Linked DNA regions of Mus musculus. The protein of the gene in region 3 purifies or fractionates together with the protein of the main gene of each other region. This does not show direct contact. Links are inferred from orthologs where the notes say so. Each region holds a gene or a part of one and is shown on either strand. Other genes may lie near its edges.

Evidence for each region.
Region 1: the proteins of Usp25 (region 3) and Kctd10 purify together in Homo sapiens (affinity purification with mass spectrometry; 4 studies listed by BioGRID and IntAct, counting the BioPlex papers as one, with this or other methods). This does not show direct contact. The link is inferred for Mus musculus from reciprocal best matches to the Homo sapiens genes USP25 and KCTD10.
Region 2: the proteins of Usp25 (region 3) and Klhl9 purify together in Homo sapiens (affinity purification with mass spectrometry; 3 studies listed by BioGRID and IntAct, with this or other methods). This does not show direct contact. The link is inferred for Mus musculus from reciprocal best matches to the Homo sapiens genes USP25 and KLHL9.
Region 4: the proteins of Usp25 (region 3) and Btbd9 purify together in Homo sapiens (affinity purification with mass spectrometry; 3 studies listed by BioGRID and IntAct, counting the BioPlex papers as one, with this or other methods). This does not show direct contact. The link is inferred for Mus musculus from reciprocal best matches to the Homo sapiens genes USP25 and BTBD9.

What each region holds. Positions count from the first base shown.
Region 1 is NC_000071.6:114,377,430-114,382,159, forward strand, and holds the start of Kctd10 (BTB/POZ domain-containing adapter for CUL3-mediated RhoA degradation protein 3), read right to left. Parts: upstream 3,077-4,730; 5' UTR 3,000-3,076; coding exon 2,997-2,999; intron 1-2,996. UniProt on the Homo sapiens protein: Substrate-specific adapter of a BCR (BTB-CUL3-RBX1) E3 ubiquitin-protein ligase complex. The BCR(BACURD3) E3 ubiquitin ligase complex mediates the ubiquitination of target proteins, leading to their degradation by the proteasome.
Region 2 is NC_000070.6:88,719,338-88,724,362, reverse strand, and holds the start of Klhl9 (kelch-like protein 9), read left to right. Parts: upstream 1-1,854; 5' UTR 1,855-2,360; coding exon 2,361-4,214; 3' UTR 4,215-5,025.
Region 3 is NC_000082.6:77,079,444-77,083,740, reverse strand, and holds part of Usp25 (ubiquitin carboxyl-terminal hydrolase 25), read right to left. Parts: intron 3,418-4,297; coding exon 3,347-3,417; intron 2,285-3,346; coding exon 2,056-2,284; intron 1-2,055. UniProt on the Homo sapiens protein: Deubiquitinating enzyme that hydrolyzes ubiquitin moieties conjugated to substrates and thus, functions in various biological processes including inflammation and immune response.
Region 4 is NC_000083.6:30,573,087-30,578,183, forward strand, and holds the start of Btbd9 (BTB/POZ domain-containing protein 9), read right to left. Parts: upstream 3,202-5,097; 5' UTR 3,060-3,201; exon of another isoform or gene 2,902-3,059; intron 1-2,901.

The DNA.
Region 1 (4,730 bases), on a different chromosome or scaffold from region 3:
GCATATTTAGAGCTATGACATGGAAGTCAAGATAGAACAGTTCCGTCTCATTGAAAGAAAAAAGGTGAAAGATAAGCAGTGTGTAGTTCAGGTGTTTCCAGACCCATGTTCAAGGCCCCAACTCGGCCACACACACTGGCGCAGGGACACGGTGGGCAAGATCCCCGAATGTATCCCAGCTATCAGACACTGGCCCTCCCTCCTTGTTGCAAGCAGCCGGGTGGACACAAAGCACTCAGCACAGCCCAGGCCGGCCAAACACTCAGCAGGAAACACTGCTGTTGTGATTATCTGAGTCTTAAGTCGTCTCCTCTTTGGAGACTGTCTCCAACTATGAATAACTGAAGGCATGGAGGATCAGGATGGAGCCTGAGACACCAGGTGAAGCAATGAAAGCCTGGAGACTTTCCTGAGTCCCACACCCTGGGCAGCCTGGTGCCTGGCACCAGGATAGACCCTTGGAGGGCAGGTTCTGGCTCCACTCACATCCTGGGCTGTGATGGTGACCTGGGGTCACAGAGCAGTCGCCTGCCACTGCCTTCCCCACAGAGACACTGTCCTCCTGCAGGCCGACTTCATGAGTAACTGGGGGGGGGGGGGGGGGGGCTGTGTGTGCAGGAGAGCAAACTTGGTACCAGTGAAAGGGTGAGTCAGTGACAAGTTTGTTCTGGTGGGACGGGTGAATCTAAGTTTCTTTCCGGACTGTTGCCCACTAAATAAATGGTGGCTCCACCTGGCCATACACTGGAAACCCAGAGGAGCTTTTAAAAGACAGTAATGTCTGCGTCCTACACACACACATTCCTCTGTTATCAGCCTTCCGGGTGTGGCCCAGGGAACTTTTTTTTTTTAATTTCCCCAGCTGGTTCTAATGTGCAGTCAACATGACAAGCCTCTGTTCTAAATGGTTCTGTACCCCTTCATTCGGCTATAATTAGCTCTGTGGTCTTGAAGAAGCTCTCTAACAAACCTCATACTCTGTTGGCCCAGTGATTTCCTGACCCGCATATAAAAACAAACCAAAACATCACAAATAAAAGTCTCACTTCACAGCGATTGAAAAAAAAAACCCACAACAAAATAAAAGTCTCACTTCACAGCGATTGAAAAAAAAAAAACCCACAACAAAATCGGCCAAAAGAGAGAATTGTTGACTGTCTTGTTGGAAAGCCAGACAAAAAAGACAGGGGAAAACAAACAAAACCTAGAAAATACTAACTCCCTGCAGACTGTCTCCTGAAAGCTGAGGGAAACAAGCCGATGGTGGAGCCAACCTGGACTGCAGTTTCAGGCCGCCACTTTCTGTGCAAGGTTCACAAGAGCTATTGAACCTAAGTCTCAGTTTCCTCCTTTGTAAAACAGACTGTTAAAGCCAGAACCTTCCAAATACTGTCTCCCCCCACCCTCACCCTGCCCCTGCCCCAAGAACAGAGTCAAAGCCCGGCCCACCTCCTCCTCCTCCCTCAGGCTCCCTTCCACTCCTGAACTCCTCAAGACTTGGTGTTCTCAACTGGAGATATTAGAGTCACCAGAGCTTCCAAGACACTGCTGCCTGCCTGCCTGCCTGCCTGCCTGCCTGCCTGCCTGCCTGCCTGCCTGCCTGCCTGCCTGCCTGCCTGCCTGCCTGGGCGGAGACCCCAGGCCAGCAAGGAGTGCTGCTGCCTGCAATTTGGGATTAAAAGGCTCTTTCAGGTGATTCCGATACAAAGGAGGATTAGACAATCTGTTTATCTAGTAGCCTTGGAGATCTGAAGGGAGCTCTTCCGGGCGGGTTGCTTAAGGGGTATTATGCAAGGAGGCTAAACTAACCTGAGGTCTCTGCTACAGGGCTACTGCGTGAAGCAAACGAAGTTAAAGGAGGCCAAAAACTAAAGCCCCACACTTTTTTCTAGGATAGTCACCCCCCCCCCCCCAGTTCTCCTGCTTTTGAGAACTTCTCCAAACAGTCTCAATGAGGATGTTGTCAATCCTGCTTACTAGGGAAGCTAGGTATTAGAATCTGGTTTCAAACGCCCTCCATTTCACAGCCCAAATCCTTAGTGACACACAGAGACTGTAAAAATACATCGGTGAGCCCAGACTATCCTGTTGTTAACTAGTTCCCAGGTTAGCCCCAGGGGACCAGTTGGTGGTCTACCGGTGCTGCTGGCCGCCTTCTACCAATGTGTGTGTCTCTTGTTTTATACCAAATAGAGCTTGACCAAAGCCAGACACAGGCCGAGTCATCTGTCTTCAGTTTGGGACTGATCTTGTGAGTGAGTGGCAGACAAAGAAGACCTGGGTTAATAGTCCACCCGCCCCCCATCCCCACCCAAGGACAAAGAACCATTCAAGGGACAGACCCTAGAGAATCTCAAGTAAACCGAAACCATCCCATAACGCAGACAGCAACAGCTGACATCCTGGGACTCCCGAGGTGTGGTCACCTAGGGCCTCAAGGGAAGTGATTAGGTAGGTATCCAGGTGCCACTTGAGGCCAGACTCTGTGGTCAGGGTACCCCGACCTCAGACATGTCTCCTTAGAATTACTGTTACCAGTCATCTCGCTCCAGACTTGTGGGTTCAGAGACGCCCCCTCCCTCTCTTGCCTGGAACCCCACCTTACTCAAGGCACAGCCTCCCAGAGGCCAGACTTTGCTCGATTCCAAGGGTACACGCTCGCCCCTCTCCACACGCCCTCGAACCCTCGTTCGTTCCCCACCCCGAGCGTCGGTCTCGATGCCTCCGCCGCCGTCTCTTTGTCCCGACGATCTCCCACGTCCCATCGCCCATCAGCACTCCAGGCTCGCCGCCCAGCGCCACCACCGCCCGCAGGACCAGCCGCCCCTTCGCAGATCCCCACCACCACCACCCCGACCACGGCTCCTTTCATTTGAAGCCCTTCCCCCGCTCCGGACCTCGCCCGCACGCGCTACTCAGCGCCCCACCGCTCCCGCTCAGCCTCGTCGCCACCCTCGCCCGCCCCGAAGCTCCCCGACGGCGGCCACCGCCCTCACCATGAAAAGTCGGAGGACGCCGGAGTCTCCAAATCCGGACTGAGAGGCAGGAAACACCCAGCTCGCTCAATGCAGGGGGCGGAGGCGGGGCCGGGGCGGGCACTTCCGGCGTCCGTCCACACCCCACTTCCGCCCCGCAGAGGGACTCTTCTTAAAGCGTTCCCCCCCACCCCCCACCCCCGTAAGCCCTAGATGGGGGGAACTCTTTTTATCAACCGTTCCCGCCTCCCCTTGGCCGAGTCAGGCGTTTAGTCCCACTTCTGGATGTTTGTTTCTCCTTTCCGTCTGCTAAAGAAGATGACAAGAGGAAAGGAGTCCTCACCTCCTCCATGGGCAAAGAAGCAGTGCGGAACTGTTGTTTCCCGGAACTGAATAATTGCTTGCTTCCCAAGAGGTGTTCGGAGCACAACACCCGGGGCAAGATGGCGGCCGGGCTTCGGCCGCTGCCCCGGGGCTGGCGGACCTCGGGGGGATCGGGCTAAGGCGGCGGTCGCTGCGGCCCGGACCCCGAGTGCGGGGCCTCGAACGGATAAAGATCTCCGGACTGCGGGTAGCGAGTGGGGACAGGATGGGCGCTTCTCTGGGCGGCGGGGCCAGGGACGGAGGGAGGCTATCTGGGGGGCCGAGTCTTGGTTTGAGTGAAGTCGGAGGAGGGACTGGCTTGCGGGCTTCGGGGATCTCCTTGTCCCCCTTCCATTGATTTCCGTGCCGAGGCGACTGGCCTTGCCAGCCAACTGATTGTGGGCGAGACGGACTTGTTCTTGTGGTTGTTGATGTCGGTGCCTGTGAGAGGCGTCGGGCCTCCGGATCACCCCAAGTGGAATTCGAGCCCAGTGCTGTCGCTCGCTGTGTGACCTTGGGTGAATCTAGTCCCATCTCTGACCCTCAGTTTCCTCCTCTGTAAATAGAGTAATTAGATTGTTTTACGGAGATTATTTTAGAATACGTTTTAGTGTGGTTCCTGACGGCTCTTGATCAAAAGCTGGAAAAACTGGATCGTATTTTGACTTAAGCCTAGCTAGCCTCACAGGGTGCCTGGCATTCTCAACTTCTCTTTGTGGTGCCTTTCTGTGTGTGTGATTCCTGAACCTTGCCTTTTTGACTTGCCGATAAGTAATTCCTTTGGGAATTCAAAGTCAGGGACGGTGGGTGAGGACACTGGCGAGTTATGTGCCCTCTGCATTTCGTTTCCCCATCTGGATAGGCTGTAGCTGTCTAAGAGCAATAGTTTGGCTTATTAATGGTTTCTTTAAGAGCTGTTGTCTTATCTTAGGCTTTTAAAATTGGGGTGTTGTAGCCTCACAGGATAGGCTTCCAAAGGGAGGCCTAGTTAAATAGATCTACAATGTCTGTTACATGGTCTACACTTAGATGGTGGCCCTTAGGCCTGGGAAACTAGCGACTTCTACCATAAAAGAAAGTCGCTCAGCAACTTGTGTTTATTTTTACTTCACAGTCTGGACTCCTGTGCGACATGTTGTGCTTCTTGAAGTTAGTCTCAACCAAATAGGTTGGTTGTAAGCAAGTTGCCTGGGGACGTAGAAGTAATGCAGAGTCTTGTCTGTTAGCGTTGAAAGCTTGGCTCTGCGGCTTACTAAATGTATAACCCAGACCAAGGGAGGCGAGATTTGATTGTCTCATCATGTTGCTGCTCTTATTGGATGAGACACTTAGGCGAACTGCGTCCCTCCTTACCGACTGATTGCTTTCTGATTTCTCTACCTAGAGCACTCT
Region 2 (5,025 bases), on a different chromosome or scaffold from region 3:
AGCTGTCTTCAGACACACCAGAAGAGGGAGTCAGATCTTGTTACGGATGGTTGTGAGCCACCATGTGGTTGCTGGGATTTGAACTCTGGACCTTCGGAAGAGTAGTCGGGTGCTCTTACCCACTGAGCCATCTCACCAGCCCCCAAAATAATCTTTTAAAATAGTTAAATGTTGGTGGCTGGAGAGATGGCTCAGAGGTAAAGAGCACTGGGTGCTCTTCCAGAGGACCCAGGGTTCAGTTCCAAGCATCTAGAGGATAGATCACACCTGCCTGTTACTCCAGTTGACATCCTCGCATAGCCATACATGCAGACAAAACACCAATGAACATAAAAATAAATGTAAAATAAACCATTGAAATATGAGGAGCATGTGTCCCTAATAACCATAAATGTTCATGCCTGGTTTCTCATTAACCTTGCTAGCTTAGTAGGGAAAGGACCGATGTCTTGAAGTTTGCTCTGGCACCTTCTCAGGAAGTGATCTTGTTCTTTCTTTCCCTACAGGTAGAAATTAATCTCTCGGAAGTGCCTCTTCACAGCCAGGTGACATGTCAGAGCCACTCAGGAAAGGCTTACCCCAACTCCTGAACCAAGCAGCCTCCCAGAACTTAGCTCCTGGGAAGAACTTCTCAAGACCATTCTCATTTCAACAAAGCTCTGGTATAACAGGGCACCTGGGGGGGGGGGGGGGAAGGAACGACGACCACAGGTTGTTCTACTAGTTTGGGGAAAAGAATGTTGTTCTACTAGTTTCCCGGGATTGCTGCAATTGGCCGGAAACCACCGGGAGAAGAAGGAAGGAGAAATAAAGGAAGATTAATCACCTATAGTTAAGTAAATTACATACATTTTTTTGGGGTCATCAACAGGTTGTAAGTAAGCTCTCTATATACCAATTTTGGAAAATCTTGAACTGGAAAAAAAAAATCCAGTAGGATACATGCCATTTAGAAAAGAGCCAGGAAGTGGAGCATAAGAATGTAAGTATATTCTTAGTCTGCATACAAGTAAACGCTAGAAGGATTTGGAACTTCGAGAACAGAGAACTACGGCAAATTATATACTTATTCTCAAATCAAAGTTAAAATTTGCCAGTAGCTAGAGAACTGCATGTTAATAAAAAATACTTATAAAAGCAAAGTTCAACACAAGGGAAACGCAAAGGGTAACTATTTTGGAAACATTGACTTGAATATTCTACCAAATATTATCATTATCCAAATCAGGATAACGTTTTGTGTTCAAATCATCTGCGCTTATTACAGAGTCCATAAGATAATGGAGGACATTTGTACACTGATGAAAACAGTGGACAAAGTAAACTATAACATGCTCAACTACTGGAAAACTGTAGCCAGTTAAAAATAGTGTTTGGAAAACAAAACCCTGAAAACCGTATTTATGAAGGCATTATCTCTCCTGCCAAATATTAAAAAAATGTATCATTAGGACCAAAATTTAGTGGCAAGTTAAATCTCATGTGTCTTAAATGTTAAACAAACAAACAAAAAACCTTTTACAATCAACATTTTTAATTGAGTGTGACGCAAACTGTAAAACTGTTCTTGAAGAAAATAAATAAATAAAACGATACAATGATTTCTTCTGCCAGGCTTCTTGTGTTTGAACAAAGGTTGCCTTTCGTTGCTGCTCTGGCAAAGACCTTAAGCGTAAATCTTGAAAAGAACGCGCTCTTGAAAAGCAAGCTTAAGCACACGCACGCGCATTCCTACAAGCTTACATAATGGACCCTGCACCGGCCTCGCTGGCCGGCCGGAACCCCGCCCCCAGTCCCGCCCGCGCCCTGCCCCCATCCACCGCCCCCTTGCCAGCTCAGCCGCGCAAGCGCACTAGCTGTGCAGCCGCTCCTAGCCCGGGGGATCCTGGGATTCTGCCTTTCCGGAAGGTCGGGCTGGCTCTCGGTGCTAGGCCGCCGTTCTAGGCCCAAGTCGGGATTCCAGGCCCTGCTCCAAGCCAAGTCCGTAGCCGCGACGACACAGCGGGGATCGCAGAGGACGCGGCCGCAGCTCGTTGGGGTGGCTGAGCCTTGGAGGGCGGCAGCCGGGGTGCGCAGGCCGTGACGGCCCCTCCCCCGCCCTGAGCGCAGCGGCGAAGGACGACAGCCCGGGACCGGAGGAGGTGAAGCGGTCACGTAACTGCCCCGGGTGATGACTCACCCGCTCTCCTGGCAGATTTGAGGTGCGTGCTGCTGTTGCTGCAGGGCGGACGTCGGTGTGCCCAGAGCGGTGCTGCGGCGACCGCTTGCTTGCCCTTGGTTCGGCGGCCCCGGGGTTTCCCGAGAGCGTTCTCTTTGTAACGTCTGCGGCCTGCAGCTCGCAGCGAGCTCCGGCTTCTCCCATGAAGGTGTCTCTGGGTAACGGCGACATGGGCGTCTCTGCCCACCTGCAGCCTTGCAAGTCTGGAACTACGCGGTTTTTTACCAGCAACACGCACAGTTCGGTTGTATTGCAAGGCTTTGATCAGCTCAGAATAGAGGGCCTACTTTGTGACGTGACGCTGGTACCTGGCGATGGAGAGGAAATCTTCCCGGTTCATAGAGCCATGATGGCGTCTGCCAGTGATTATTTCAAGGCCATGTTCACTGGAGGAATGAAAGAGAAAGATTTGATGTGCATCAAGCTTCATGGGGTGAACAAAGTTGGTCTGAAGAAAATCATTGATTTTATTTATACTGCAAAACTGTCTCTTAATATGGACAATCTTCAGGACACTCTTGAAGCTGCCAGCTTTCTACAGATCTTGCCGGTTTTGGATTTTTGTAAAGTATTTCTTATATCAGGCGTCTCTTTGGATAACTGTGTGGAGGTTGGCCGGATTGCTAACACCTACAATCTTATAGAAGTGGATAAATACGTAAATAATTTCATCCTGAAGAACTTTCCTGCCTTGTTGAATACTGGGGAGTTTCTGAAACTCCCCTTTGAACGGCTTGCCTTTGTGCTTTCCAGCAATAGTCTCAAGCACTGTTCGGAACTTGAGCTCTTCAAGGCAGCCTGCCGCTGGCTGAGGCTGGAAGACCCTCGGATGGACTATGCCGCAAAATTAATGAAGAATATTCGCTTTCCACTGATGACACCACAGGATCTCATCAACTATGTGCAGACAGTAGATTTCATGAGAACAGACAATACCTGTGTGAATTTACTTTTGGAAGCAAGCAATTACCAAATGATGCCGTATATGCAGCCGGTGATGCAGTCGGACAGAACTGCCATTCGATCTGATTCTACTCATTTGGTTACCTTAGGAGGAGTTTTGAGACAACAGCTAGTTGTCAGTAAAGAGTTACGAATGTACGACGAAAGGGCGCAGGAGTGGAAGTCGTTAGCGCCCATGGATGCTCCTCGATACCAGCATGGCATTGCTGTTATTGGAAATTTCCTTTATGTAGTTGGTGGCCAGAGTAATTATGATACAAAAGGAAAAACGGCTGTTGATACAGTTTTCAGATTTGATCCTCGTTATAATAAGTGGATGCAGGTGGCATCATTAAACGAAAAGCGCACATTCTTTCACCTGAGTGCCCTCAAAGGACATTTATATGCAGTTGGTGGGCGCAGTGCAGCTGGTGAACTGGCCACAGTAGAATGTTACAACCCAAGAATGAATGAATGGAGCTACGTTGCAAAGATGAGTGAACCCCACTATGGCCATGCTGGAACAGTATATGGGGGTTTAATGTATATTTCCGGAGGAATCACTCATGACACTTTCCAAAATGAGCTCATGTGTTTTGACCCAGATACAGACAAATGGACACAGAAGGCTCCTATGACTACAGTCCGAGGTCTGCATTGCATGTGTACAGTTGGAGACAAGCTGTATGTCATCGGTGGCAACCACTTCAGAGGAACAAGTGATTATGATGATGTCCTAAGCTGCGAATACTATTCGCCAACTCTTGACCAGTGGACACCAATTGCTGCTATGCTGAGAGGTCAGAGTGATGTTGGAGTTGCAGTCTTTGAAAACAAAATCTATGTTGTTGGTGGATATTCTTGGAATAACCGGTGCATGGTAGAAATTGTCCAGAAATATGACCCAGAAAAAGACGAGTGGCATAAAGTTTTTGATCTTCCTGAGTCGCTGGGTGGCATTCGGGCTTGCACTCTCACAGTTTTTCCACCTGAAGAAAACCCTGGGTCACCTTCTAGAGAATCACCTCTTTCAGCACCTTCAGATCATTCTTAGATCCAAGGTGTAATACCTTTTCAGTGTATCATGGGTGGTCTTGTTCATCCCCTTGTATTGTTTCTCCTTATTGCTACAGTTAATAGACAAAAAGGTAACTTAGACCCTTTTTTTTTTTTGGTTTGGCTTGATATTGTTTAGTAAATGGCTATACAAGTGCATTTTGAAAAGTATTAAATATATTCAGCTGTTTTAACAAGTAAAAAAGATACATAGAAAATTAGATTTTTTTTTGTGGTGTTACATGTGTCAAATTATAGATGATCTTAGTAAATGTGTAATTATGTCTGTTATACTAAAAATTAAAACATTTGATTTGACTGAAACATTAAATGGAGGTCCCCTGTTCTAACCTAATATAAAGATTGCCAAGGTACAGCTACCTCCCTCTTGGATAGTTTTGGACAATCTGTTGTCTAGGCTGTGTGATTAGTCTTAGAATATTTGAAGTTTCCTAGGTAGACAGAAATAGTAACAATATTAACTAGAAGAAACAGGTCAGGATTTGTTCTCTCACTGGAGAAAAAATAATAGGTGTGTACACTAGTCAGATATTCATGCTCACTCAAAAATTTGTGTACACACATAAACTTTTAGACTTGATAGAAACTTCAACTGTTGTGAAAATGACCTTATATTTTCTTCCAGAAAGCAGCTAATTTTATTTCAATGAGAATTCAATACCAGAGAGTCCGTGTCTAAAGTCTTAAACCGAATTTAGATAGCTAAGGGCTACAACAAACTAAATTGACAGCCAAATTTGTCATTTAATAGAATTTTTTCTTTAAATGAAATTTAATTAGTTTTTCTG
Region 3 (4,297 bases):
CATATTTCAAAAACTAGTATAAAATTAAGAAGTCACGGAAAAATGCAAAGTTCAAAATAGAATGCATTTCAAGTGGCATATAAACTATATACTATTCATTATTACATACAGTCACCATAGCAAACATTACCTACATTTTCTTAAAAAGTCTAAAAGTGCTCAGAAAAACAAAGACATAACTATTAGAAAAATGAGTCGAAGGTTTCTGATAAGTTCCTAGAGTCTGAAGAGTAGCAAGGAGAGGCAATACAGAATTAATTAAAATGTCTGGTGATTCTAACATGAGCCTAACCTCACTTTGCTATTATAAGAAAATATCCAAAGTCTGATTATGCAGGAAATAACTGTTTCACCAAAGTCAGAAGCAATCTCTGACTATGTTAAGCTCAAAGTAGAACTAAAACCGTTTTTTATGTTAAGGGATTAAATACAACATAAAATCACATAAACTGTGAAGCTTATCAATGCAGCAAGGTGTTCTGAAACAATGTGCAACTAGTACTTCAATAGTCAAAGTGAGCTGTTGAAGTTTGCTCTGTGGCTATTTATTGTAATGCTAAATTCTGTACCCAAAGGTCTAGGCTTATGAGTAAGTAATCATGTTTACAAGCTTTTGTTATGCAAACCTTGTTCCTTAATTTAAAACTATTGGTTAAATCAAAATGGCTACAGCCAATTACTGGAGGGATTTGGGTAGGCAGGTTTTTCAGTTACCTGGTTGAGCATGGGAGAGGGGGGAGCAGGAGGGGGGAGGGGAGAAGACTCCATGGCACAAGTAGATCAGAAACATGGCCATGAGGGCTGCCTAGATGGAACATGGAAAGTTATAACTCGGAGTTATTGATGGAGAGGTGGATTCTAATAGATCAGAAGGTAGATTTGCCCAGCTGTAGTGCATTGAAGGCTTATTAGAAATATAAAAGTCTGTGTCTTTTATCTGGGAACTAAATGATCAAAAGCAGGGATAGAAACCCCACTGAGATTAAAGATTTCTTACAACATTAAACTTTAGTTATAAATGAACAGCCTAGTTAAGCTTACACGGCTACAGACAGAAGGGATATACTGGGTGTTTTCTTTATGCAAAGACTACATTAGGACAACAGAAATAAAAAGACTACAGTATATTTTCACAGGGATTTGGGCTTTGAGCCAAAGAGATTACAGTGTTCAAACCTAACCACACAATTGTCTGATGGAAGAAATGCTTTTGGTTTTTTTTAAAGATTTATTTATTTTATGTATGTGAGTACACCGTAGCCGTCTTCAGATATACCAGAAGAGGGCATTGGATCCCATTAAACATGGTTGTGAGTCACCATGTGGTTGCTGGCAATTGAACTCAAGATCTTGGAAGAGCAGTCAGTGTTATTAACCACTGAGCCATCTCTCCAGCCCCGAAATATGTTTTGAGAAAACCTGAACTGATGTTTTGGGAAGTATACAAAAAAAAACTGTGCAAGAGGAGATGGCATGAAGCTCAAATGTCAGTGAAGTATATAAAGTTCAAACTGGGCCATGAGGCTGGAGCAAATCTTAGAGGCCAGAAACAAAGGCCCTCTGTGCTAGACTAAGGGGTCAACCGTCAGCCAGTGTCCGGCTGGCTGCAGGAGCTAAGGAGCTCTCACTATGGGGAGCACAGTCGGATTTATGTTGGTTATTAGCTCTGAGTACAGTGTGACTGCCTGGTGTGGGTCCCGTTCCTGGAGTCCAGCTTAGGTTGTATCACCTCCCCATTCCAGCTTTTCATGAACACTTCTCAATGCAATTCTCCACCCTCAGTGAATTCATCACACAGCCAAATCATGACAGAAAAATCCTTACTCAAAAATGCCACACTGTGGGGTTGGAGACACAGCTCAGCAGTTTGCTGCTCTTGAATACCTGGGTTCAGTTTCCAACACCCACATGATGGCTCACAACAACCATCTCTGACTCTGGGTTCACACCTATCTTCTTGGGGGCAGGCACTAGGCTCTTACACAGTGCCCTTGCATACATGCAGGTAAAACACTCAGATATGGAAATAGCAGTGATGGCAGGGCATCGTCTTACCTTGTATTAGGAACTGTGCCTTGTCGTCTATGTACATTAAGCAGTATGCACTGGCATTTCGATAACCACCGAAAGAGTCCCTCACTAGCTCTTCCCATGAAGACTTGGTCACAGCAATATCATTATACTTCATCCACCGGCTCTCCCGGTGGTCAAAGATGTACGCCCAGTAGTGGCCGGCATTAGCCTGGCCCTCATGAACTAGGACGGCATGGAGGCGGTAAGGGACCTGGCGTGGAAAGAAATGCAAAGTTGAATTATACTGTCTACTAAACCATTTCCCAAGGCCATCTGCAAACTACCTATTTAAGGAAAGCTGGGGCACATTTTCTAAATAGAATAAAAGTCGCTGGGATTAAAGGTTTTGAGGAAAACAACAGAACAAATAAACAAAACATGCAAAATTATTCAGGGAGAAAATCTATGGAAGTTATTAAACTAAAAATATACAAACATATAAGAGAAAGTAATTTTCAAAACTGAAAATAGATTGTACGTGTTGGTGGCTGGCCCAGTACTTCTTTGTACTGAACAAAGGAGTTACAGTGGACATTTATACACACAGTTTCTCTCTGTCTTCACAGTTGTAGTGACAAAAACACCAGACTGCATGATCAATGTATATCCAAAGTAGGCTTGCATGCTTGTTGCTCTCTGAAGACAGTTTCTAACTATGCAAGCCTGTTGGCCTGCCTCCCAAACATATCTCCCTGCCTCAGCATCGCGAGCGCTGGGGTTACAGGCATTGCTCCCACACCCAGAAAGAAGTTAGAGTTGAACGGGGCTTCAGGGTTTCTACCCCAATTATTTGCCTTTAAATGGTCATATGCATTTTCCCTATGGACATATTTTTTTCTTAATGAATATGTTTGGAAAACTGCTTGTAAATTTTATTGTAAGATTTTTTAAAAGGAGTAACTTAGGTATAACATGAAGGAAATCTGTTATAAAATTTTATCAGAATGTTTTTCTCCTTAGTTTATACTATAATACCAAATATATTGCTTATTAGAATAAAATGTATTCAAGTTGTATGACAAAACATGTACCAAGAATTGGTGTGAGATAAATAGGATGAAGGTGAAGATGGAAGGATAACTCAACATTCTCGGCACACATGTCCAGCAGTCCACAACTGCCTGTAACTCTGGCTCTAAAGTCACCCTACAGCGTTGGCCTCCCAGGGCACCAATGCACACACAAACATACACAGAATTAAAAAGAAATCCTTACAAATAGCACACGGTGTGGCAACAGAGTGACAGGGGCCGGCAGCCCAGCGCTCACTTACTTGGATCATGGATTTGTCCGAGTACATGAGTTCAATTGTTCGATGGATTCTGGATATGCTTTCCTGCAGATCTACGGATAGAAGACGGGACTTAATGGAGGACACGGTCACCTGGATAGAAGACGGGACTTAATGGAGGACACGGTCACCTGGGTTTCTACTGAGACTAGTAACAGAGGGACGAAGGGGTTTTTGGTTTTGTTTTTTTGTTTTTTGTTTTTTATAATCACACTATTGAGGAAGAAAAGTTTTCTAAACTATTCTTTAAGATGCTATTATTGCAGTCTATGTGAAATGAGATGTTCAGAACAAAGAGAGTTAAAAATACAACAAAACAAAACAACTCAGGAAATATGCAGGGCCAAGAAAATCAAACTGCATTCAAGTTTGTACAGAAAGGTTTCAAGGAATGTTAACGCTCACCTCCCTATACATGTAGAGATAATAGGAAAAATCAACTATGCATGCAACTGGGACACTAAAATAGCCAAGTGAAATTTATAACGGAACTTCCATTTCCTATTATTTCTACTTACAGTAGAAAAGAATTTTATAAAAGTCTTCAAAGACTGGGTGTTCACAGCTACATTATTTCATAATTTTTAAATCTGAATAAGGTAAGTGTTGGTATCGATACATTAAAATATCACAGAATTGTAACGTTCTGTTAATCAGTTGAAAGAATCTGGAAGAAGCCAGAAAAGGCTACTACAAAAAAGTAACTTCAAACTCTGGAAAGATTAATTTTAGGCTGATACAAAATTAAGAAACCATAAGAGATAAATAAATGTAAGAGTACAAACATCTAAAACTTTAATCAACATCAGAACACAAAAGCCAGGTGCTGCAGAGATGGCTCAGTGGTTAAGAGCACTGGTTGCTCTTCCAGAGGTTCAATTCCCAGCACACACATGATTGCTCCCCTAAACATAATCTGAGAGGGGGTCTGAT
Region 4 (5,097 bases), on a different chromosome or scaffold from region 3:
ACTCCCTTTCTAGCTAACATATTTGTACCTTTGTCACAGGGTCGGAAGTTATTGTTTGGCAGGGCATTGTGAGAGATAATCATGATGGAAACTGTATCATGAATATCACTGAATATCATCAGATGACGATTAGGTAGATTTTAGTGGCTGAAGGCATGCAATACTGACAGCCCAGGATAACTGCACAGGAATGAAACATTTATTCCAATTACTAAATGAAATCAAAGGATACAGAAATTTTATCCTAGCTCAGCCAGATATCCTTTAAGTAAAAATAACATTTATTTTTAGGCAGGGCTTGATAGCTAGCACCTGTAATTCCAGTACTCAAGAAGCAGAGTAAGGAGAATACTCTGCAAAATAAGTTCTAGGCCAGCCAAGGATATATGTAAAACCCTATCTCAAGAATCAAATAGATTGGCCGGGCGTGGTGGCGCACGCCTTTAGTCCCAGCACTCAGGAGGCATGGGCAGGTGGATTTCTGAGTTCGAGGCCAGCCTGGTCTACAAAGTGAGTTCCAGGACAGCCAGGGCTACACAGAGAAACCCTGTCTCAAAAAAAAAAAAAATCAAATAGATTAAAATAACCAATTTTTTTTAAAAAAAGAAGAGTCAGGCAGTGGTGGCACACGCCTTTAATCCCAGCACTTGGGAGGCAGAAACAGGCAGATTTCTGAGTTCCAGGACAGCCAGAAAAACCATGACATAGAGAAACCCTGTCAAAAAAAAAAAAAACAAAAACAAAACAAAAAGAAGAAGAAGCAGGAGAAGGAAGAAGAGGAGGGGGAGGAAGAGGAGAAACAGATGTTTTAAAAGAGTAACACTTGTAACTTATTCTTGTCTAAGATTTTATTTTGATCCCACCCTACAGACATACTCTGTTCCAGTTGATTTGCTGTTGCTGTGATAAAACCCTGATCAAAACCAGCTTAGGAGAGGGGTTATTTTGATTACAGGCCAACTGTCCATCATCAAGAAAAGCAAAGGCCGGAACCTGGAGGCAGGAGCCAGATGCCGTTTCCTGGCTTGCCTGTCTCCTACAACCCAGGACAGCCTGCCAAGGCCTAGCCAGATCTGCAGGGCAGTGGGTGGGACCTCCTGTATCAATTATCAATTAAGAAAATGCCCTCACACCACACACCCATCCTGTGCAGGCCAACCTGACGGAAGCACTTCCTCAGCAGACGGACGGTCCTTTTCCCCAGTGATTCTAGTTTTTGTCAAGTTGACAAAAAACTAACCAGGACGGAGTCTACACTAAAATTAATGGGATGTCTGTAACACTTTTACAGCCACCCTGTAAAGCCTCTCTCCCCACTATTTCTGTACAAGGAACCTTTCTCTGCTCCAGTCACACAAGCCTCCTCAAAATATCCTTCCGCCATCCAATGACCAAATTAGCACTAACTTTTCACCACAGGATTTATCTCTTTCCTAATTCCAATTTTACTCTCTGTTTAAAGGCCAGCCCTGTATCTGACCTCCTCCTGTGTAAACTTCTCCTATACTATAGCCCCACCTAATCCTACTACCTCACTTCCTTCTGGGATTCTTTGACATATACATGATTTCTTTTTCTGACTAGACAGCTCATTCTTAAAAGAAAACAGGCTGGTCAGGGACCTCACTTGTGACCCCATAACCCTCTCACTAAGAGGCACAACTCGGGAAAGAGGGAGGCAGTTGCATTAACTATGTGAAGGATAAAACTAAATGTTCCCCTTGTACTGTCCACGGGGTATGAGGCCGCATCAACCGCATAGCTATCTACCCGGGAGCGGGCAGTTTTCTAGGAGGCACAAGCAAAAGGGGAAATAAGTAACTCACTCACAAAAGCTCGTAATAGAACAGTGGCTCCTGAGTGGTTTTTCAAAGCAAGCTTTACTGATTCCAAGACGTGAGAACTTCAGAGACCATACCTTACAGAGACTCCGTTATAAAACTGAATCTCCTGATTTTAGACTCTGGGTGGAAACTCTAAAGTTATGTCCCTCAGTTTTTAGGCATGATCAAATGTCAGTGCTCCCTATCTTGTCACTCTCACTTGGCACTGCCTTTAACTCATAACGGGAAAGATTATTTCTTCCATTTGTCTCCATTATTCCTCCTTAAAAAACCACCACATACAACGGACCCAACAGAATCCTGTATACTGGCTGATGGCCAGTTGCATCATTTAACTCCAGTCTCACCATGCCAGCCCACGCGTGAAACACAATCTACATTTCCACCAGATAAATAACAGCCCGCACTGCTTCTGGGAAGAACACACACAAAAGGCAGGGCTGCTCTACCTGCAAGACCCTTGAAATGGCCAAAGCACAGCACGGTTCTGGGAAATAGATACAAGGGCAGATTTGAGTCTATGAGGAAGTAACAATACTGGATGGATATGGTCCCTTGGCTTCAAAAATGTGGATCAACACAGGATATAATAATAATAATAATAATAATGTTCAGAGAAGCACGTGGGCATGCACGTGAGGCTGGAAGGTCCAGGCAACAGGTTAGTCAACCAGCATCTTCACTGACAAGTCGCCTTCCCCGGGTCGTGGGTGTGCCCGACGCTCACGCAGGCACAGATTCTAACGATCTCTCTAACAACCCGCTCCTACTCCCAGACCCGCCAGGGTAGAGCTGACGGATCTCTTCGCGGTTTACCCCAAAACTTTGCGAACCCCGAGGGTCCCCATTTCCGCGTTTGTCAGGTTTGCACAGTCGGCGTCTCAGTGTGGACGCGCGGCTGCTGAGGAACGCGGGCTTCTCCCGCTTCAAATTCCTAAAAGGAAACCGGCAGCGTCGCACTGGAGTCCAGTCACTTGTCCCTCGGCACCCCTCTCTCCAGCGCCCCCCTCTCACCCCCCCCCACCCCCACCCCAGAGCGCCAGGCCCGGGAACTGACCCTCCTCAGCCCCCGTCCCCGCCCCCGGAACCAGCGGCCGAGGGGCGTGGAGCGGCGCGCGCGGGTCCGGCGGGGAGGGGGAGCGCGTCCCCGCGCCCCGGGCCCGCGCAGCAGGTGCGGCCAGGCCCCAACTCTCACGAGCGGTCCGGGCGACTCACCCCGACGATGTCCCTCAGCGACCTAGAAGCCGCCACACACGTCTCTTCCGCCAGCAGCGACCCCGCCTCGTGGCCACCGCCCCCTCGACCGCCGCCGTCGCCGCCTTCCTCGCCGCCGCCGTCGCGGCGCGCGCCCGCTTTCACGCACACCGCCGTGGCCGCGCACGCGCTCTGCGCGCTGGCGTCACTTAGCAACGGCTCAACCGTGGGCCAGTAGAACCCAGGACGCCAGGGCCCCAGGTCGCCTCAGGCGGGGGTCTTGCGGCGTGTTTCCCCAGGTCGGAGCCACTGCCCCTCCAGTACTGGGCCCTGAGGGTGTGGCCGCCCTGCCGACACCTGGCTCAGGGTGAGGCACGTCATCACACGTCACTGAATAGCGTCATCGGTCGCGTCACTGCGTAAGGGGACGAGCCGGAGCGCCGGTTGGAGAAAGCCTCGTCTTTCTGCACTTAGTCGCTTGCCTGATGGACAGTCAGCTACGTGCGAGAAGTTGGACGAGGAGAATGGGCCAAGAGAGGCATTACCAGCATGAAGGTGCTACGAGGCCAGGCCTGAAATACCACGACTCAGTTTCCTCCTTCTGTCAGTGGGAAGACGGATACCCGACTTGCCTGCGCTAGAAAGGTGTCAACTTAGGACGAAATAATGCATGCGAGGCTGCGGGCGAACTGATCTCATTCGAACTCCTTATTTCAAGACCCTGACAGAAAGCCCGGACATAAGTCCTCGACACTCCAGGACTACCAAGTGTAACGTATAAAGCCCATTAGACTCCATCTTTCACATAAGAAGCAGGCACTGTGAACTTTGAAGCCGTAGAAATTGGGTTGTAGGTCTTTCCTGGCCGAAACTGGAGAGTCGTCACTCTTGAAAGTTACTTACCTGGGTGTGTGGGTTTGAAGATGGAAGACTTAATTCCAAGCAAAGACGACTTAAATGGGCAGTGAAAATGAACAGACACAGCAAGGGTTAGGGCTGGGCCAGTGAAGGATCAGAGCCACAACCTAGACTCTGGCGGTGGGGATGGAAACGCGGAGGCCAGCTCTGAGCGGGGGAATGAATAGGTAGGCCAGGTTTCTAGCGTGGTTGCTGAGACAGGTGGGAGTAACATTTAGCAAGACGGAAAGAAAGCTGCCTTTGTGTGTCAGTTACTAAATGGTAGTGACATTCCTTACGGATGACATGGTAGAACGATGGAATGTGGATACGTTGGTTGGGGAAACATTCTCCGCTCTCATCTTCCATGTGGAACGATATCCATCAATTTAATACATCTACTTTCCGATACACGTGTCCCCAATTTATTTGTCCTTGGAGAATTGACTTCGGGATTGGTACATTTAAAAAAACAAAGGGAGCCGGGCGGTGGTGGCGCATGCCTTTAATCCCAGCACTCTGGAGGCAGAGGCAGGTGGATTTCTGAGTTTGAGGCCAGCCTGGTCTACAGAGTGAGTTCCAGGACAGCCAGAGCTATACAGAGAAACCCTGTCTCAGAAAAACCAAAAAAATAAAAAGGGGGGGGGGGCAAACTGAAGTGGGAGATCTTTGAAGAAACAGAGCAAACCCTAGAGTTTAACATTAGGAAACTGCCCACAGGTGATACCCAATTCCAGCTTTGTTGTGTTTTATAGAATAATGTTTCCCACCAAGACCCATGCCCCCATCACCATAATCTGCTGATCTGTTCTGGAAAGTGACAGAAGGAAGTTGCAGACCTGGTTCAGTAAAAGTTATGAAGAGATTGCTCTGATGCTGCCCCGCTGGGCTAGGGACAAGAGCAACAGAGTCAGAAAAAAAGCTTATGAGAGAAGCAGGGGAGACTGCTTTGAAGCTACTGCCAGTCAGCCTTAAAAACGGAACAAAGGACTACAGGCAGCCTATAGAAGCTAGAAAGGGCAAGCGACTGGGTTCTTGAATCTAGGGCTTGATCTCTAGAAGTGTAACAAGAATTGGTATAAGCCACACAGTTTCTACTAACTTGTCACAACAGCTGTAAGAAACTAGTACAGCTGAGAATAAAGACAACAGCTTCCCCGTG